Schizosaccharomyces pombe: one gene and its partners. The protein of the gene in region 2 interacts with the protein of the main gene of each other region in a biochemical or structural test. Each region holds a gene or a part of one and is shown on either strand. Other genes may lie near its edges. The genes, in order: pop1, rum1, lkh1 and cdc13.

What was found.
Region 1: the proteins of rum1 (region 2) and pop1 form a complex in vitro, tested with the Schizosaccharomyces pombe proteins (2 studies listed by BioGRID).
Region 3: the proteins of rum1 (region 2) and lkh1 form a complex in vitro, tested with the Schizosaccharomyces pombe proteins (one study listed by BioGRID).
Region 4: the proteins of rum1 (region 2) and cdc13 form a complex in vitro, tested with the Schizosaccharomyces pombe proteins (2 studies listed by BioGRID).

Annotation. Positions count from the first base shown.
Region 1 is NC_003423.3:3,467,495-3,472,405, forward strand, and holds pop1 (cullin 1 adaptor protein Pop1), read left to right. Parts: upstream 1-1,633; 5' UTR 1,634-1,848; coding exon 1,849-4,176; 3' UTR 4,177-4,391; downstream 4,392-4,911. Other genes in the region: beta-glucosidase Psu2, read right to left, coding at 1-35; synaptonemal complex-associated protein hop1, read left to right, coding at 4,825-4,911.
Region 2 is NC_003423.3:2,797,741-2,802,427, forward strand, and holds rum1 (CDK inhibitor Rum1), read left to right. Parts: upstream 1-1,936; 5' UTR 1,937-2,848; coding exon 2,849-3,541; 3' UTR 3,542-4,177; downstream 4,178-4,687. UniProt on the Schizosaccharomyces pombe protein: Regulator of cell cycle G1 phase progression. Ensures the correct sequence of S phase and mitosis in the cell by acting as an inhibitor of the cdc2 mitotic kinase. Probably interacts with cdc2 to inhibit its action until the cell mass for Start is reached.
Region 3 is NC_003424.3:655,556-662,206, reverse strand, and holds lkh1 (dual-specificity), read left to right. Parts: upstream 1-2,029; 5' UTR 2,030-3,374; coding exon 3,375-5,447; 3' UTR 5,448-5,966; downstream 5,967-6,651. Other genes in the region: 3' tRNA-processing endonuclease tRNAse Z L2 Trz1, read right to left, coding at 5,967-6,651. UniProt on the Schizosaccharomyces pombe protein: Protein kinase that may act as a negative regulator of filamentous growth and flocculation. Appears to have a role in normal cell wall and septum formation and in cell separation.
Region 4 is NC_003423.3:418,316-423,788, forward strand, and holds cdc13 (G2/M B-type cyclin Cdc13), read left to right. Parts: upstream 1-1,795; 5' UTR 1,796-1,993; exon of another isoform or gene 1,994-2,120; intron 2,121-2,346; 5' UTR 2,347-2,807; coding exon 2,808-4,256; 3' UTR 4,257-4,953; downstream 4,954-5,473. Other genes in the region: exocyst complex subunit Exo70, read left to right, coding at 1-904, 958-994, 1,096-1,161; protein dsh1, read right to left, coding at 4,954-5,283, 5,354-5,423, 5,467-5,473.

The DNA of each region.
Region 1 (4,911 bases), 670 kb from region 2:
GAAACCGCAAAACAAAGAAAGTTGTTAAAGAGCATTTTTAGATTTAAAAGATTTGACAGGAATCTAACGATTGACTTTATAAACGATAGGATATGCTAGTAACTTGATACTAGAAAATAAAAGAAAGATGGTAAAGAATATAATGGTCTTTACCTTTTGCGGTTCTGATTGTTTAATTTCAGCTCACGGCTTTTCCCTAAAAATCAGCTCAGCTTTATATACATTTCTTTTTTCAAGCACTTCACCATCTTTTGATTAAGAGCCGTGGCGTTTTGCCACTAATTAACCATGAAAGCCTGTAAGTTTTCAACGTTGATTTTTTCAGAAAATTTCTAACCATAAACCCGAAATAATTAGCGCCAAAACAGTCAACTATTGCGCTCCAATCATTGCTTGCCTTGCTATCGGCTTTGTATTCATTGGCTGATAACTTAATTAAAAATGAACTTAAAAGTCAGTTGATAAATTCAACCAATTAAATGCGTGAATTTGATCTACCCCAGGAAAATTTATACTGTCCCGGGGTCGCGGGGCGTTCAATCATTCATTTCAAAGCAAATTATTATTATTTCCAAGCCAAGTAATTTAATTTTTGTTTATCGCTTTAGCTTTCTTATCATAAGGAAGTTCTTGGTCCCCTGGGCCTTTTGCAATTGAATTGCGCGGTGTACGTAAGCCTAATGACATCCCTGTATACCTAACTTACAAATACGTTGGCTCGACTCAACGTTATATTGATTTTCTCCTAATACTATTAAATATATTTAATAATCTCTTGGGAAAGTAATCTGGTACATACAAATCATCCTAGATATAAGAGGCTCGGTGCATTTCGGCAAATGATGTTCTGCAGCTCATTAAATATGATATAATATTAATTAATTAATATCGTGTTTACACTCGGTTTATCGGTTTGCTATGCTAAGAACTTTTACGGATAACAATTTAATTATTTATCTTGGTAGCGTATTTGACGCTTCTTTGGATACTGAGATTAAGTCAAATTTTGAATGGAGAGAAGTCGAATAATAGCCCAATGCCTGCCGAAATTACCCGATGCATGTCATTGACGAGACAAAAAATTTCTTTCAACGGCCTAAGAAAATGATGTACTAGAAACGCCATCTTAGTCTGACATTTTACATTTTACGCTCATGCTCAAATTTTATTAATAAATTATTATATGTGTCCGTGTCATTTAGAATATGACAGGGGAGGGTAATCTCTTTCCCAACTTTATTGGCGTGTAATGAAATTCGCGAGCTACTATTGTGTCTGCATTCTTTAGCTGCAAAAACGCAACGGAAAAGACAATTTTATAATATGAATACTTCACGTGTTCATTGTTTTTGTCTTTAGAGAATTTATTTGAAAATGCTGAGGAGGTTAATATCTGGTATACAATTAAAACACTATCGCAAATAATGTAAAAAAAAATAATATTGAGGAGCCATAACTAAGTCATATAACTTTTCTTATTGAACTATTGTTATGTCGCGATTTAGTCGTATTTACCATAAACTATAAAAACTTTTCTTAATCAACAGTAAAATTGTTACTTATTCTGGTGTTACTTACACCTCCGCTTGCGTAGAGTGAATTTAAAATTCATTGCCAAGAGTTTATGGTCTTTACGATCTATCTCGCTGAACTTCAAAAAAACCAAGAAAAAGTATTGCTCTAATGCATTAAGACGATAACTATTTGCAAAATAATTTCATATACATGTTTCCCAACGGGCAGTTGTTTTAAGTAAATTCATCAGTATCGATTCTTGAACCAGGTTCTCTAACATCATAAAAGAACTTGACAAATACTTTTCTACTAAGTGTCTGTAAACTACTTGAAATGAATGAGAAGAAAAAAGATAGCCTATCTGTTTTAGATTCCAATGAATTTTTCGGTGAGACAACTATGGTATCACCGAGTATTGATGTTTCCTCTTCTCCCCGGCCAAATGTCGAGAGATTTTCTCCATGTTCCACTAAAAAAGATCTCCTGGAAGGAAATAATATAATGACCAGAATTCCCGAGGAGCTTAGTCGTGTTAGTCTACAATTTGATAGCAAGGGAAGTCAGCAATCGATGATATTTACTAACAATCGATGTTTATCTGATAAAGAAAATTTGGAAAACTTGCAAAATCTTTTATATCTACATTGTGATCTTAACCGGCCCCATTTGAGTTGTGAGCTGCCGTCAGAGCATCGCGAAAAGTGCCTTAAACGCCGTAACTCTAGTCTCAGCTCTAATTTGCATGCTAATAAGCGGTTTCTCTTCAATTCTCAAAGTGATGGGAATAAAAAGAATGAAACTTTTCCTTCTACTAACTACTCGAACGTTTTCTACCCAAACAACTGTGACAGTAAGGAAGTCGCTAGTGAAACAACATTCTCACTTGATGCACCAAATAATTCTGTTAATTACTCTTATTTTTCTCCTAATTTACTCGGCAACGATTCCAAAACCCGTCAATCTTTTCCCCCTCATTCATCTTCATCTTCACATAATTCTTTGCATGAACCTGTCATATATGATTTTTCTTCAGAAAATCCTAGCATTCATCCTTCTAATCATTTGAGCTCTCAAAAAAATGCTGTTTTGAAATTAGCACAATTAATTTCTTCCTTCGAAAAATTACCCGAAAGTGTTCGTCAATACTTACTTTTTCATCTTCTTTCTCGATGTGGAAAACATGCTGTTCAAAATATTCACAAAATTCTGCTTCCTATCTTTCAAAAGAACTTTTTAACTGGATTTCCGGCTGAGATTACAAATTTAGTGCTTACGCATTTAGATGCACCTTCATTGTGTGCAGTTTCGCAAGTTTCGCATCACTGGTATAAGTTGGTATCGTCCAACGAAGAACTTTGGAAAAGTCTCTTTTTAAAAGATGGTTTCTTTTGGGATTCAATTGATAGTAAAATCCGTACGATGTGTTTAGAACAATCTTTGTCAGCCTGTGCGATAATGAAGCGGGTCTATTTTAGACATTTTAATCTTCGTGAAAGATGGCTCCATGCCCCGGAGAAAATTAAGCGATGTTCATTCCCAATTCATGGAGTTCGTCTTATTACCAAACTTCAGTTTGATGATGACAAAATAATTGTTAGCACCTGCAGTCCTAGAATTAATATATATGACACGAAAACAGGTGTCCTGATACGCAGTTTAGAAGAGCATGAAGGTGATGTTTGGACTTTTGAATACGTTGGGGATACTTTGGTTACTGGCTCCACAGACAGGACAGTAAGAGTCTGGGACCTTAGAACCGGTGAATGTAAACAGGTGTTTTATGGACACACGTCAACAATCCGTTGTATCAAAATAGTTCAAGGCAATCAAAGTACTACTGATACTGATGATGTGGAAAAAGAAAACAGACCAGCTTCAAATGATGCTAATTCAATGCCTCCGTATATAATTTCAAGTTCAAGGGATTGTACGATCCGTTTATGGAGTCTTCCATGCCTTGACGATCCACCATTTGTTAATGTAAATGAAAATCCTGATCAGAATAATGACTTTACTTCAGCTACGACCAATCCGTTTTACATCCGAACATTACGTGGTCATACGGACTCGGTACGTGAAGTTGCTTGTCTTGGAGATTTGATTGTCAGTGCCAGTTATGATGGTACTCTTAGAGTATGGAAGGCATCTACTGGCGTTTGTTTACATGTTCTTCGGGGACACGTCGGGAGAGTATACAGTGTCACAATTAATCCTTCTCGTCAACAATGTATCAGCGCTGGTACGGATGCTAAAATTCGTATTTGGAACCTTGAGTCTGGAGAACTTCTACAGACCCTTCATGGTCATTCGAATTTGGTAAGTCAAGTTACATTTAACCAAAATATCTTGGTATCCGCTTCTGCTCCTCCTGATACATCGTTGAGAGTTTGGGATCTAAACACCGGAAGTTGTCGAGATATTTTAAAATGTCCTTTGGGACACATATTTTTTCAACACGACGAGAGCAAAGTTGTCAGTGGAAGCCATAGTACGCTACAGTTATGGGACATTCGTTCCGGAAAGTTAGTAAGAGACCTATTGACTGATTTGGATATAATCTGGCAAGTTGCTTATAATGAAAATGTATGTGTGGCTGCTGTTTTAAGAAATAACCGTTTTTGGATCGAGGTCCTAGAGTTTGGATCTACTAAATCTTCTTGAGCTTTTATAAGTTGAGATACTAGAAATCTATAAAAGATCTCGAAATTTTATTTTACGTTTCCAAACTGAAATAGATTCATGCTATTTATTCTGGAAACTCCTCTATCATATAATATTTGTCTAATTGTTTGTTGACTTTTAAATGTTTACTCATAATTTTCTTTTTTAAATATCTAATAAGAATGCAAAATAATATTTTTTTAAATGATCTATTCTACATTTATAAATTATTTAGTGTTAAATTCGTTTGTTGAGGCCAAAATTTTTTTACCAAAGGGATAAGCGAATTTCTTGAATCCTTAGCTTCAAATAGCGTCCATTCTACCCAAAAGCGTACTATATTTTTATAATTAGCAAACTATAGTAAATAAAAAAACAAACATTTTAGCTTTGTAAATGTAAAAAGACATTTAATTTAACAAAAGGCTTTTACATTACTTCATAAGCTACCAAATGTCTTCATCGTAAAACATGCTTTTCGCATTCCATTTATCTATGTAAGCCATTTTAGTGTAGTTTAAAGTGTTGGAAAACCACAGGTGGGACTGTAATATACGTACACTTAAGACGCGTTCGACGCGTTCACAAAATTACCATATATAGATATCAACTTATCAAATACCCTTTACTTCTAAGTATAAATGACAAATGAATTCATACAAAGAGGAAATTCTGCAAACTAAGTCTGACTTTACTCTTAAAAATTTAATTTTCTTCGCGATATCAACATTATGC
Region 2 (4,687 bases):
TACGAGTTGAGGGGTGCTGAGGAACGGAGGGCACATTACTGACTCGTGAAGGTGGACGAAGTCTAGAGGAAGTTTTAGAAATTATACTTTTTCTATTTGAAGAATTGAGACCATTATTAGGAATCGAACTTGCTACGGATGGCAAGTTGGATGTTGGTATAGTAGGAGCAGAGGAGGTGGCCGATTTTGGAATTGCGGATTGGCGATGACTTGCAAAAGATGAAGAAGGAGTCCTAAGTGAGTTTGGGTTAGAAGTCGTAGCCATGCTAACCCGAGAACGCACATTCATGGATGAAGACCTTGGGAACATGGGAAGGCCTAGAAGGTACATATGAAGATGCGGCTCTTCTTGCAGGTCGGACCTTTGGATCTTTAGACCTTAATAACCTTTGCTGCTGTTGTTTTTGAAGAGCTATAGCTTCCTCTTTTTGCCTTCGTTCTTGTTCAAGTCGTTCTTGTTCTTGTTGTAATTCGATCTTTCTCTGCTCTTCGGCTTGTATTTGAAGCATTTTTTGATGTTGCAATCTTTCTAATTCTTCATTATCAAAAGACAAACCTTTCCAGTCGCTATTTAGTATTAGATTCTGAGTATGCTCCGTTTGGCTTAGAACCGATGACCATAATTGTATTAGACGATTCGAGTTGTTAATGGAGGTTTCGAATGACTTTATTTTTTCTTTAGAAGCAGAAAGACCATCCGTAAGCTTTTCTATAGTGTAATTAAAGCTCCTTAAAATCTGTAGTTCTTGTTGCAATTCAGATGTCATGTTCAAAGAAAAAGATAGACTATCCTATTAACTGAAGACAAGAAAAAATCACTAAAAAATATATAATTAACTCAAGTATAGAAAATAATTTCTTGTGTGCAATTTAAGCCTAACAAAGTATTCGATTGAAGATGTGCGAATTGTTTAAAGAAATTCAGTACAAAGAGTAGACGAAGGTTGTTTTTATTTTTTTTTACAAAAAATATAATAAATTAAATGAAACAGTTTGAAAAGAAAATTGCAGCGACTCCAGTTGTCCCTTAGAATAAGAACGATAGGAAATATGAGGCAGAGGTTAGTGTTTACACAGGCAGAGAAGAAGAAATGAATTGAATAAAGAGTTAGTTATGTGCATTACATTTTGATAATAGTTTTTGAAGAGGAAACATATTTTTAATTTTTAATTTAACGAACCTATCATTTTAATTGTTTCATTTGGCAAATGCATTGATACTATTTATTGTAAACAATAGGTAATGAAGCGTAAAATAAGTCATAACATGAACATTCATTTATGAATATTTTAATTATTGACCAATATGTTTATAATATTTTTTGATAAATTATGTTAGTAGCGTATTCCTTAAACACATAAATAAACATTGTCACGATTTAATTTTTAACAATTGTGATATATTTTGGAAATACTTAGCGATGTAGCAACCGTGTATTTACTTTGCATATTGCTGTTCCCATTTCGATTTGAAAATGGTGTTTGAAAGATAGTCGATTCTTCATAAATCCATTTTTCCTGCATTTGAGCTAAGGTAATAAATATTGCTTATACCATCAATTTGCTAATAAGGAACAATCTTAACGAAATATCCCTTGAATTAGTTTTGATAGTACTTGCTTTTAAATAACAATAAGAGACTTATTTCATTTACCATACTCGCGAAGTTTCTTCTTTATTAGAACTTCAAATGTAGTTTACTTTTATTTACGGTTTTGCAGTCATATATTTTTATTTTCGAACTGGAATATTTCTATGATGCTTAAAATTGTTAGTAAATTTTTTAGATTTTTGCTAAAGAGAACAGAAAATCGATTCTCATTTAAAATCTAACTACACATTTATGCAAAAATTGTACTTGATCAAAGTAATTAATTTAGCGTACTGCGTTACAGCCATCTAATAGTAATGGTTACCACGAAATGAGCAAATAACCAGTTAACCAGAACGTCAAACATACAGTTCTACTACTACATACATAAGCTTTGGGTTCCTTGACAGCGGTTGTTGCAAACTGAATTTTTTTGTTTTGGATTATATATAATATACAATCAATTGATCTTGTTTAGTCTTGATTCGTGTGTGTTTACTTGAGTGCTGCAGTAATATATTACTAAATTGTACGAATTTGGTCAAAGAGAATCCGCTTTTTTATCAGTTTTTTATTTTTAAAATTTAATTTTGAATTATACTCTTTACAAGGAACGGTAGCATCTTTATAAGAAATCGAGCATTCAATTTCTATGTGAAAAAGTTGAATTCGTCTAAGCAAACAACCAACTAGTTTTTAAATTCTAACATTAGAAAGAATATTTTTCCTTGTTAATTATTCTATTTACAATTTTAAAGTTGGCACATATCTTTTTTTGATTGGTTGATTCTTTGATATTTTAGCTGCACTTACTTCTTGGTATGAAGTGAAATTTTGCTTTTTAAAATAGACATTTTCCCATTCCCGTTTTCTAAAAGATTCCTTTTTTTTGTTTACTCCGAAAATTTCAATACCTTTCTTACAAGCTACAATCCCATTTTGTTCCTTCCTTTTGATATATTGAAGCCATTTCAATTGTTTCTATATTATTTCAAACAATTTTACAAATATTGTTTAAATTGTATAATTATCAAAGCGCAGTCGCTAGCTTGGTGGGTATTAAATTGTTACCTTTTCGTTTGCTACAGGTAACTTGTGAACATTTCTGGTGCTGAATTTTCCTACACCCAAAAACCATTGAAAAATACATTTTTTAAATCATATCGGAAAGCTTGAATACACGCTCTTCTGATAATCCGCTCGATACATAAAGGATTTCTTCTTGCATTTACCTGGTTTTTGGATTGTCAGTTCGCTATGGAACCTTCAACACCACCTATGCGAGGGTTGTGTACTCCATCTACCCCAGAGTCTCCTGGGAGTTTTAAAGGAGTCATCGATGCTTCGTTAGAAGGTAATTCTTCTATTATGATAGATGAAATCCCTGAAAGCGATTTACCAGCACCTCAAGTTAGCACATTTCCACCTACACCTGCTAAAACTCCCAAAAAGCAATTACTACCAAATTTAATGCTACAAGATCGGAGTAATTCTTTAGAAAGATGTATGGAAGAAGACAGAGAACACAATCCTTTTCTCAGTTCATCTGATAACCAGCTTTTGTCAAGAAAGAAGAGAAAGCCTACTCCTCCTCCTTCTGATGGTTTGTACTATGTTTTTCGGGGGAAAAGAATCAAGAAATCCTTCAGGCCTGGAACTGATTTATCTACTTTTAAGCCCAAACTCTTGTTTGCTGACTCGGCGCCTTCTTCTAGTTCAGATAACCCAACATCCTCTGTAGACCTTAATGACTATTCTCAAATTGGCATTCTCCCTCCAAACCTGAATTCTATTGGGAATAAAATGTTCTCGTTAAAATCAAGGGTTCCATCTTCCTCGTCAGGTTCCTTTGTTGCTCCCCCACCGCAAATGCGTTTACCTGCGTATTCATCACCACAAAAATCACGATCTAATACAAAAGATGAAAACAGGCACAATTTATTACGATAACTTTTTTTCGCATTTTGTAATTGTGTTTGATACCGTTTATATAAATGCCCAATCACGAAATACTCTTCTGCCTTATTCATGATAATCGTTCGTTTGAACTTTTGGTAGTAGATCAGAACCTCCTATTCTCTATTCTTGATGAAAATGCATTTTGACAAACGCTGGTCGTTAGTCATTCATGGTAATATCACCACAATATCACCACGATTTTCTTAATTGAGTATCTATAATTACATTTCCCCATCTTTCCATTTGTGCCTATTCATATTCCATTTGGCAACTTAATTTTTTATCGTCCTCCCGTGTCTGCCCTGAGCCATTGCAACTTTTTTTAGCAACCTTTTACGGCATGCTTTGAAATATTATACGTTTAACTTATTTCCTAATTTCATCCACTGAGCTTTTACTTTAAGACTTATACTAATATTACATGGCTTTCACAATTTTCTTTTCTTTGTTCAGAGAGTGAATATATTCTGAAATGTTGTATTTATCGATTAGTTAATAATGCTATTCGATTTCTAAATTTTTTGCTGGTTTGGAAACTATAGTCTGTTATTCTCAATAACTAGTTTTATATTCAATTGTTTTATCCCAGTAATAAAAAGGTATTTTTATACCGCATATACAATACTATTCTAGGCTTCTTAGACAGTTATACACATTACGGTATTGCTGTTACATTGAGTTAATTTGTGGTTTGGTGATATAGTGAAGTTTACTAGCTGGTACTGAAATCCTACAAATGGATAACAAAACTGGTTCTAAGCGTATGAAAGGAGTCTTTGGGTAAAATTATAGTGTAATATCGTTTCGTTCATTGAAGTAATAATTAGGCCTAACCGACTCTACTTGACTAACATTTTTTCTTCACACCATGAAGCATGATGAATAATGTATTTATTTATGTTACCTGAGCGGTAAGATGATTTGTTTACATAATGTCACTTTTATTTACATTTGCACTGCAAAATGACAACAAGGAAGCCACTTACATCACAGTGAAGTTCGTTAAAAATTCGTAACTCTTATATTTACATGGTACCCGTGTTTCTCCCCTCTACCATACTGAGCATATAAAATAACACAAAAGTTAGTGAATCATTTTGTGGCATATCCGAACACTCCTTAGCTTTTTACGAAGCA
Region 3 (6,651 bases), on a different chromosome or scaffold from region 2:
TTTATAGATGTTACTATGTATAGCAAGATTAATTAACATGTTATTGTTATTTGTTATTATGTTTTTAATACTATGTATTTATAGCATCTGTAATGTCTGCGTTTTTCAACTGCCAAAGAGCGCATTTTCTACAAGTTTCGGTTAATGTTGCAAATAACCGATTAGACTTTCATGTCATGACACTTGATTTCACTTGTGCTGACGCTTTTTTATGAACGGCATATCGCTGTTCAGCTGCTTTACCGACATGTAATGGCCAAATCTCGAGCTTGACACTTTGTAAAAAGTCTCAATAATAATTCCCCATCCACAACTGACATACATAATTGATAGTACTTACTAGCCTTTACCCTTGCCAGCCAGACAGCTTCCACTGTACTGAGGTCAGGGATCATGACATAGACTGATTGCAAATTACGAACAAGACCGTCAATCTGCACTTTAGCATCTCCTAAAATAATAATCGTTAAAGCCGACTAGCTATTAGGGATGACGGGAGGAGCAAAAAAATAGCCTGAAAAAAGAAAAAGAAAAGAAAGCGTATTTAAAGAAAGGTTAAAATTTTCTTTGTTCTTTCAATAAGTAAGCAGTTTACTCCTGGTCCAGAAGTGCGACGGACCTTGCGTGCCGGTAAGGAAGTTGCAAAAAAAAAAAAAAAGGAAAAAAAGAACCGAGATAAAGTTGACTTTCAACTTCCGTCTGCAGTAACCGGATTTCCCAAAAATTTCAACGGGTAATTCAATTATGCAAGGGGATTGTCATTCTTTTTTTTACATTTTTGAGTTTCACGACACATTAGTCCCTTAATTGCAGCTACAACCATGCCTTGTTGCCTATTTTTTTCCTTTGCTTAATTACAATTTCTCACCCCATTTGAAGTCATGTTGATTGAATTTTTCACATCCCGTTTTCAAGCTCTAACATCAGTCATTGTAGATGATTGATTGTAGAAAATTATATTTGTTTCCTTTTCGCGACCATTAAATGATTATTCAATAGTTGATGAATTATTGCCTTTGTTGTTTTGTTACTCATCATGGCAATTTTATCGTATTATTTGTTACATAGATTATTGTCATCCACTAAATTTTTTGATGGCCAAGCGTCGCTGTTTGGACGAAATATTCGATTACCGAGGACGGATGGCCATAATCAAGACTAGTTTGGTAAGAGAATTTGGCAGATGGGCTGGACGACATTTGTTGAAAGTGTGAGAAACGCTTCTGAAAAGGCATGTTTTCTATATTTCATTTCTATTCTGGTAAAGAATTGTGCGGAATACTATACCATGGACAAATGGGGCGGGCGACAAGGCAGCTACAGTATAAGCGGGCATATAGCATTCATTGTATAATACAGTATATAGTACATGGTAGGTAGAGTTGGATAGAGATGGTGAGAATGACAGTTGCATTATTTATGCGTAAAACTATATGTAAATTTTATAACTATTTATGTAAACATGCGTTTATATATGTGTATGAGTGTGCATGCTTGTGTACATTTGTGTGTGTGTGTATGTGTGGTGTGTATTGATGTTTGAATGGTATGATGACAATGATAAGCCATTTCTTACGAAAACTCCTTAAGTGAATATGGTTGAGTTGAATGGAGCGGCATTTGAATGGTAAATGATTAGTGATCTAAATTAATGAAAATTCATTCAGCGCCTCTGCCTCTACGGCCATGGCGGTTTTCGTAGATCTCAGCCCTTCAGAGTAGCAAGCGTCTCTTACGCTATAGTTGGGTGACGGCTAGGTACGTTGCATACTGCGCACATGGTGTTGTGGAATGTGTATACTTTTTCATAGGAAGGAGGTGCCAAACGCAACGCGCCTGGATGGTGATTGTTGGGTTGTTCCCTCGTCCGGCCAATTTTTTCCAGCTATTTTATTTTAAGGATAGAATAACAATGATGTTGTTCCGGTCTCACAAACATGATTATCTCATGCAAATTTCACCTTTTCTAAGTGGCTTTACCAAAGAAAACGCAACTTATTATTATCCAAACTCTTGCTAATTCCTTTTTACTTTCTCCACATCCCTCGAATTGGCTTGAGGCTTTTTCTTTTATCCTTTCTATCCTCAATTACTAGTTTTCTTAGCAGTTGTATTATTAGGACATTGCTTTGTTGTTTTACCCCCCCCCCATTGGAATTACATTCTGTGGGATTGAAGGAAAGAAAAAGAAAATTGCTTATTAAGAGTCGTATATACTTCATTCTTCAATTTACTACACTCACTACTTGCTTTTCTCCATCTACGATCTACCATTTTGTTAGGTAGACTTTCGTACTACAGCTACATCGCTTGTCGTCGACTTTGTGTGCTTTTGAAAACTGCCCTGGTAATTGCCGATTCTTTTGGGGGTTATTTATACTTTTGTTTTATCCAAATTACTAATCCGCCTGATTTGGACATTGATCAATTTTGGTAGTAGCGCAATCGCACCCCCTCAAACACAAAAACCTCATCATTGTCTCATGGTACAATATTGCCTTGGAACATCATTACTTTAAAGCAATACGATTGATACAAAGGTTTCCGCTAGTTGTTGATTGAAGGTTTGGTGTTTATCGTTTTTTCGTGTTTGATTTGCCTTTACAGACCCTCCGTGTTCGGCATACTTATTCTCCGGTATTGTAGATATTTATTTCTCTCCGATACCTTTTTGCATTTGCTGTTTCTCTTTACTGTTGCACCCTACATTTGATTGAGAAAGGGGTTTAGTGGTTGTCGTCAATTGTCTTTATTCTGAGAAAACGGCTTTCTTCTCCCTGATATAAGAAACCATTTGGTTTGATAAATATATTTCAAGTTCACTTTCTCACTGTTTTCCGCTTCTTTGCTGATTTATCGTTTGATCGACGGCCTTGCAATTTTACAACGTCGAGAATTTTAACTTCTTTCTTCGTGATTGCATTCAAATTTTGAAACTCTTTCGAAGTAGGTGTACCAGTTAACTTGATTGCTCATTCTTCCTCCCATTCTCTGCTTCTTGATGAACTAGCTGTTCTGGTCCAACACCAATTGTCGAATGCTTGTCAGTTCAGTTCTATTGCTTTAATTCGTCCATTTTTTATTTTTATTTTTTAAATTCCGCCTTTCTATTTTGTTCTTACCCTTCGACGAGTCGAAAAAAAAGGTTTTTTATTGCTTTTGTCGCTTGGTGACTTCGAACAAGGAAACTTTTCCCCTTATTATTGTTTGAGAAACACTTATTTTCGGTGGTTGGTATCTCTTTTCATCATTTTTGCTTCTGGTTTTGCATAATTCTAAAAGATACTTATCCCTTTTTTCAGGTTTCGACGTCTTCTACCTCTTCACTTTACCAATTTGCTCGCATGACTTAGACGGAATCTTTTTATTGTAAAATGCATTCCTTAAAACGTCGTAGAAATCATGCGCCTGATTGGCAGGACTTTTATAAAAATGGTGTTCCACAAGAAGTCATTGTTATAGAGGACTCAGCTTCTCCACGGCTTACCCCTAATTTACCGCCTCCTTTTTCTGTTCATCAATTACAATCCTTCGTACCTCCGCAACCTCCCTCATCATCATCACCCTCTACCACTGGCACTGTGGCAGTCCCTATCAATGGTGCGAATGCTGTTTATCCATCAACTAACTCGGTATCTCTTCCTCAATCCTATGATCCATGGTTGGATGCTAATGGCGTCGTTCCATTACCGCATGATGTCGCCAGCCATCCTTCATATATGGTTCAGTCTCCTACATCGTATCATGCGTGTTCAAATAATCAATCGCCATTTCCCCATTCACATCATCCTCCCCTTCATAATCCACTACCTGTTTCATGTCAACCTGTTTTACGGCCGCCTCCTGTCCCTCAAGTTCCTTCACACTGGTACCCGGTTTCGCTTCCCTCTCCTAATTTACCTCACCAACCAATTTCTAAACCTCCAGTGATCCCTAATTTACCAAAGCTCCAAGTCCATCCGAACAGGCTTCCACATCCCATCCATAATCATCCTTACTCGTCTCCAACCTCTTATCCTCCCCCACTATGTCCTGCAACGTATTGTCCTTCTAACCCTCCTCAGCTAGCTCCGGCTACTGCTATCGCTCCTTCCTCGCAATCGTCTCAACATAAAAGTGTAAATTATTCCGTCACCCCAAGTTCCATTAACAATCATACCGCTGTACCATTATCTCCAACGCTGGCCGTATGGCTTCCGATGACTCAACCAACTTTCCAACCTCCTTCTGCAAACGTTTATCAACCGGCTTCTAATGCCAATCAAGTTATCACTCCTGTATCTATTTCCGATTATCGACCTCCGAAGAAAAGGAAGCGAGCTGCATGGCCCCCATATAAAAAAGTCGACCGCGTAAATGTTCCTGTTGTGCATGATACTACCGCTTTTGATCCATCAACTTTTGATGATGATGACGGTCATTACAAGGTTGTACCTAACTCCAAATTTGCCAACCGTTATACAGTTGTTCGTTTGCTTGGGCACGGTACTTTTGGCAAAGTTATCCAGTGTTACGATCAAAGTACAGGTAGACATTGTGCTATCAAGGTGACTCGAGCAATTCCAAAGTACAGAGAAGCTAGTCTCATTGAATTAAGAGTTTTACAAACTATAGCTCATAGTGATCCGACAAATGAAAATAAGTGCATTCAGTTACGCGATTATTTCGATTACCGCAAGCACATCTGCATTGTGACTGATCTTTTTGGCTGGAGTGTCTTTGATTTTTTAAAGAATAACAACTACATTCCTTTCCCTTTGAAGCATATTCAGATGCTATCCCAACAACTTTTTAAAAGTGTTGCGTTTCTTCACTCTTTGGGACTAGTACATACCGATCTTAAACCCGAAAATGTTCTTCTGGTATCTAATGCCTCAAGAACTATTCGATTACCTTATCGGAATTATTCACAGAAAGTCCTTAATAGTTGTGAAATCCGGCTTATCGACTTTGGTAGTGCAACATTTGAAGATGAATACCATTCCAGTGTAGTGAGTACTCGTCATTATCGTGCTCCAGAGATTATTTTAGGGTTGGGTTGGTCTTATCCTTGCGATGTTTGGAGTATTGGATGTATTTTAGTTGAGTTATTCACGGGACAAGCCTTGTTTCAAACCCATGAAGATAGTGAGCATCTGTGCATGATGGAAAAAATCCTGGGTCCCTTTGATAGGAATATGATTTCGCGTTCCTCTCGTACATCGCAACGTTTTTTTAAATCTGACGGAAAAGTCCGTTATCCTTTGTCAAATACGCCTAAAAAAAGCATTAATTATCTTCAATCTCTGCAAACGCTAGAGCAAATATTTGCAGTATCATCTCCAGAAGTGGCTTTGCTGCTTGATTTATTGAAAAAAGTATTCGTTTACGATCCTAAGCGGCGAATAACTGCAAAAGAGGCCCTTTGGCATCCCTTTTTCACCCAACCAATTTCTTCAAATTTGTGATGGATAAACTTAGAGATTTATAATTTACTTCATGTTTTTCAATAATTTTCACTCTTTCTAATTTACAAATCTACGGAAGTCTCGTATTTCTGGTTTGTGTTACGCTTTAGCTGATGTTTATTCGTTTGTTATTATTCAGTTTCTTAGACGAAAACTCGCATGTTCTACAATTACTTTAATTGCATAGAGTACTTGGTTATCCGATATAAATTAAAACTCAAAATTGTCCTCTTTTTAGATTATTCCATAAAGGTTTGATTAAGTCGTCAATTACACTCGTAAATTTTGGTCCTTGGGTTAAATAGTAGTTACTCAGTGAAATAAAAGAAAAAAAGATCATTAATGGTTTTCAGGACTATTTTAATAGATACGGATTACCTTGACAATTTTTTTGAAGTCTGAAGTATTTTGTTATGAACATAATTGTATAATGAAGAAAAGGTTTGCCCATTTCATTAAACAACAGAGATCACTTGCCTGAGACCCAATTTATATAATATGAGACAATAGCTCAAGTAGTTAGAACTTTAAAGGATCCGACTCCTCTTTTAAATTTTCCTCATTAAATAGATAAGCCAGAGGCTTTCCAAAATAACGAAACAATGAGATATCCGATATTTTAAGAGTCATTCCATCAAACGCCAAAGCTATATGTAAGTCTTCTGTCGAAATATCAATGTCTGGTAATTTGGGATATCGTTGGCTAAAATGAGTCAAAATAACGTTTTTTGTACCAGCTTTTTTGGCCACTTCTAAAGCTTCAGAGTAAGTACTGTGTTGCTTTTTTATTGCAATTTCGTGCATAGAGTCTTCCAAAGTAGCTTCGTGAATTAATAAAGTTGAGTCTTTGGCAATGTTAGCAAAATCCTCAGAAGGTCGAGTATCTCCAGAGTATGCGATCTTCCAACCACTGGAATTAGTAATCTCCATGCAATATGAATACGGGCAGTGTATGGCAGGAACCGTTCGAAAAGATACTAAATCAAATTCTTTAAATAAAGAAGACAACCTAGAGGATTCCAAAGCAGACGGCTTCCTGTCAGTACGTAAAGCACTATTGGAAATAAATACGATGTTGGATAATGGTAGATAATCAATCCTTGAGTATTCTAGTAGCCAAAATTCAAATTGTGGAGGTGCTGTTATAAACAACTTTGATCTGCCATCTGAGTACTTCGTCCAAGCCTTTAAAACCCCTATAACA
Region 4 (5,473 bases), 2.4 Mb from region 2:
AAATCGTTAAGCCTGCCATAAACACTGTCACCAATGCCACCAGACAGCTTGAGGGAGTTTATGAAAAAAGAGGTGCTGCAGAAAATTTTGTTTTGTTGTCTTTAATTGATTGTATCGTTGTTACACGCCAAAACATGAATAATCTTATGCCTTTTGAAGATGCTTCTTTCCTTGGTTTTGTGAATGGTGTTGGTCGTGAAATGGAAAAGATATTGATTTCTTCTATATCGAGGCTGTATAATGGCACTTGCCATAACAACAAAACAGTCCCTCTCACAACTGATAGAGTCAGTGAAATGACTCATGGTATTATGAGTTTCTTGAATGAACTTGCTGAGCATGAAAATGCCTCTTATTTGCTTGAAAGTATTGGTAATTGGGGCTGGAGACACGAAATTAATGCTGATCTCAGTCCTGCGCGCTCAGTTCAAGACATTACGAGGAACTATGTTATGGATTGTATGGATTCCTACCTAACTTCTGTTCAAACAGCTGCCCAGGCAGTGGATACGATTGGATGGAAAATGGGCGTAATGCTTTTAAACATCAGCGTCTATTTTGAAGCAAAATGTCTTGAGTCAAAAATTGCATCATTTTTACAAGACGTTGATTTAGAAAAGCTAGGAGATCGATCACAAAAGTACTCAACCATGTATATGGAAGTTTGGCGACAGTGTTCTCAAAATATGCTCGATTCTACCTATACAAAATCTCAAAACAAATCCACTATGTCTGCTAAAGAACGAGAGATTACAAAGGAAAAATTCCGAAACTTCAACGAACAAGTTACATCTGTTGTTCAAGTGCATCGTGAATCTGTTAGGTTTGAAACTGGTGTTGCCACTTTTCTATTGCAAGAAGTTAAGAAAACTGTACTACCTTTATATCAAAGGTTCTATGATAAGTATGAAGATCAATTAAAAACTGTTAGTTCCACTATAGCTAACCTCTGTTTAGATACATCAACAGTGATTTTACAAAAAATAAAGACAAGGTATGTGTATTGAGGATTTGTCGATATTCATTTGCTAGTTTATCGATGTGTATATACATTTAAGTTGTTATCGTTTTTCATTTTGCTTACTCATTACGTAGTATATCAAATTTACAAAGGCTGATTTAGATTCTTTTATTACAAGCGCGTTTGCTCCTTCCCTATGATTCAATATGATGAATTTGGGTCCTTTGAAATTCCATAATATAGTACTAAAGTGGGTGTACTGGCATTCTCACTTTTCTTTGAAGCATTTGACTGATGTAAATAAAGACGGACCATATCTCAAATTCAAAAATTTGACTTCTATTTTACATTATTAAATCGTTCCATATAATTTTTTTAATTATTAACTCCCCTTTTTTGATGACTTTGTTGTTTACCCTGCTCAGATTCTGCTTACGAGTAAGCTACCCACTAAATATTGTAATTATTAAAGAAAACTTGAAGAACTAATTTTTAATTGCATTTCCCAAGCAATCATGTTTCGATTATATACGTTCTTTACTTTATATAATGTGCCCAGCATAATTTCATAGACAATAACATTATTACCTCTTTTTTACAATAGTGAGGTAGCTCATATACATTAAATTGTGGTTCCATATCTCCGTTTTCTTATTTTTACGAAACTCGTGTTTGTTTTTGTTTAATATTTATATTATTGTTTACATTGAAAATTACCATATTATTTGATGTTTGTATTTGTTTCCCAGCTTGCCAACGTTGCGTTACCCCGACAACCCCATAGTGTTTACGCCCTCTACGATACTCCTTTCAGTCGACTCCACTACCACGAGCTGTCCTTAACCAGCATCTTGACGAGTTTTTACCCTTAAACGACATTCCTGCTCATAGAAATATAAGCAAGAACAGGACTTTTCCCCTATTAGTCACTGTCTAGAGCTAGAGGCGAGAAAAGAAGCGGAACCTGGTCGGTTAAGCAAAGCTTGTTCTTTCGTCTTGTCTTCTTGCTTGTAACAAGAGCTTAATCAGATTGTAAGTAATGTTAAAGGCTGGGAATACAGTTTTGGTTGTGTAAGAACATTTTCATACAATACGACCTTCTGAAGATGTGAAAATTTCTTCCCAATCAATAGTCACCCTTTTTCCTCGACTTCACCTAGTTCAGCGAAAACATGAAATCCTCTTTAAGTCTAACTTCATTTCTTTTTATTTTTTTATTTTTTTAAAATTTATGAAGGGATTAAGGGGTGGGTGCTGTAAAACATGGGGGTTTAAATTTAAATAACTACCCATTTTATTTTCCTATCAAAGTTTCTTTTTTTCATAGGATAATCCTTTATTGTGCCATTTTGTTTTTTCATTAGATTTACTAACGTCATTTAAAGTCAACATTTACCCTTCTTTTCTTGTTCTGGTGTTAATATAGGAAAATCGTACATCGATTCTACATATAGCTTCATTTCAAAGTTCAGTTTCGTGTTCTACGTTTCCTATATCCATTGTTGGACTTCATCGCAATCCCCTTACTTTATTGAAAAAAAGAAGTCTCAAAAGCTCTTGCCAAATTCTAGATTCGGTCAAAGGCTATTATTTTCTCCTTTATACGTACGAGAAACATACATTTTTGCTTGGATTTTATCCTTAAAATTTTTGTATAAACTTTCAAGTATAACTCATTCTATTTTATCTTCTCCGTCCCGTACTACCCCTTCACGTTTTTAGACACTTTAAAAAGGTTGTTCGTTCAAAACCTCTTTTTTATCATTTCTGTTACCTGAACCAATTAATATTTTAATTTCCCTTCCTCTCTTTCAATCCCCGACAGAATTCGTTTCTTCTTTTCCTCATGACTACCCGTCGTTTAACTCGCCAGCACCTATTGGCAAATACCTTGGGCAACAATGACGAAAATCATCCTTCAAACCATATTGCCCGTGCAAAAAGCTCTTTGCACTCTTCAGAAAATTCTTTAGTAAATGGCAAGAAAGCCACTGTGTCTTCCACCAACGTTCCTAAGAAGCGTCATGCGTTGGATGATGTTTCCAATTTTCACAACAAAGAAGGTGTTCCATTAGCTAGTAAAAACACAAATGTCAGACACACTACTGCTTCTGTCAGTACCCGTCGTGCTCTCGAGGAAAAGTCTATAATCCCTGCAACAGATGATGAACCCGCTTCCAAGAAGCGTCGCCAACCTTCTGTTTTTAATTCATCAGTCCCCTCGTTACCTCAACACTTGTCAACGAAATCACACTCTGTTTCAACCCATGGGGTTGATGCTTTCCATAAGGATCAAGCAACTATTCCAAAAAAATTAAAGAAAGATGTTGATGAACGCGTTGTTTCGAAAGATATTCCCAAACTTCACCGTGATAGTGTTGAGAGTCCCGAATCTCAAGATTGGGATGACTTGGATGCAGAAGATTGGGCTGACCCTCTTATGGTTTCTGAATATGTCGTTGATATTTTTGAATATTTGAATGAGTTGGAAATTGAAACTATGCCCTCTCCTACTTATATGGATCGTCAAAAAGAGCTTGCATGGAAGATGCGTGGAATACTTACCGATTGGTTAATTGAAGTGCATTCTCGTTTCCGACTGCTTCCTGAAACATTGTTTTTGGCCGTAAATATTATTGATAGATTTTTATCATTGCGGGTATGCTCTCTTAACAAACTACAATTGGTTGGCATTGCTGCCTTGTTCATCGCTAGCAAGTATGAGGAGGTGATGTGCCCTTCAGTCCAAAACTTTGTATATATGGCGGATGGTGGGTATGATGAAGAGGAAATTCTTCAAGCCGAGCGCTACATTTTGCGTGTCCTAGAGTTTAATCTTGCTTACCCGAATCCTATGAATTTCCTACGTCGTATCTCAAAAGCCGACTTTTACGATATTCAAACAAGAACTGTTGCAAAGTATCTTGTTGAAATTGGTCTTTTAGATCATAAACTTTTACCTTATCCCCCTTCCCAACAGTGTGCTGCCGCTATGTACCTTGCCAGGGAAATGCTTGGACGTGGACCGTGGAATCGTAATCTTGTGCATTACTCAGGTTATGAGGAGTACCAATTAATTTCCGTTGTTAAGAAGATGATTAATTATTTACAAAAGCCTGTTCAACATGAAGCTTTTTTCAAGAAGTATGCCTCCAAAAAGTTTATGAAAGCTAGTCTTTTTGTTCGTGACTGGATCAAGAAGAATTCTATCCCTCTTGGCGATGACGCTGATGAAGATTATACTTTTCACAAGCAAAAACGTATACAACATGACATGAAAGATGAAGAATGGTAATTTAGTGTATTGTGCATATCACTATCTCAACCTCTTTCAATTGTGAATATTCCAACTTGTTCAAGCGCTCTTTATATGTGTATTAGTTTATCACTAATAGCAACCGTAATGTCCTGTAAACGAGTCGCCGATAATTCCTAATGCTTTTGTTTTTGTTTTGTTCTATTATTATATGCTCGGGTACTTGAAGATTGCCAGATGCATAGTACATGCTGGTGTCATTATGAAACCAAAATCATTTGGAGAAGTGTAATTATGGATGCCTTTAAATTATCCCACCTTTAAGTCTTAGATTTGATTATCTGTCGCATATGTGTTTTGATCTATGTGGCTAGTAACGTTATAACAATTGTGTTTCTGCTAATGATGCTGCTTTAAACAACTACGAGTATTGTGCTATTATTTCTTTTTTACAATTAGGACCTTACGATAACAAAATAGTACTATATTTTCTGGATGTTGAGCTACTTGCCGATTGGGAATCCCATATCCTACACCATGAGTCGGAGTAATATTAATAATAATAATGATAATGATAGTTCCTTGAGGTGAATACTACTTTATTATGTTCATAGCTTGCAGAACGTATATTGCTCATAATAAAAATGAAAACAAATAACATCTAACTCTCGATAGACAACTTAAACCAAAACATTAAATGTGTTTCTTTAAAAATAATATCGTGATCCTTTTTTTATTAATCAATAGTAGATCGATTTACAGCCATAACAATGGATTGTGCCGTTTCGATAAAATGTTCAATGCCCATAGGGAAAAATTCCGATATCAGTGGTTTATAAGATGGAGCTTGCCATTGCTGTTTATGTTGATTATCAGCTAATAGATAATCCCATTTTGGATCCCAAAACGAGAGTCCATAACGAAGAACCGAAGTGTCAGAACCAACTTGGTAACATTGGAGACCAGGTTCGAAGTCTGTATCTATATCTTTAACTTTGCCCATATCGTGTGCTTCAAACCGAGTTATATGCAAATGAAAACCGGAAGATAAATGCCAATATTTATGCTAAAATTAGTTAACTACTTACTCAAAAATTGTAAAAACCAACAGTAATGCCTAAATGAACTTCATTTACCTTCAATTTGACAACTAGACTCCGAACTTTTATGTCTCTGGTATTCATAAAATAGATTCTTCCATCATCACTTTATGGTCAGCTTATAATTTTCTTTTAATAGTCAGCCTTACGACATAG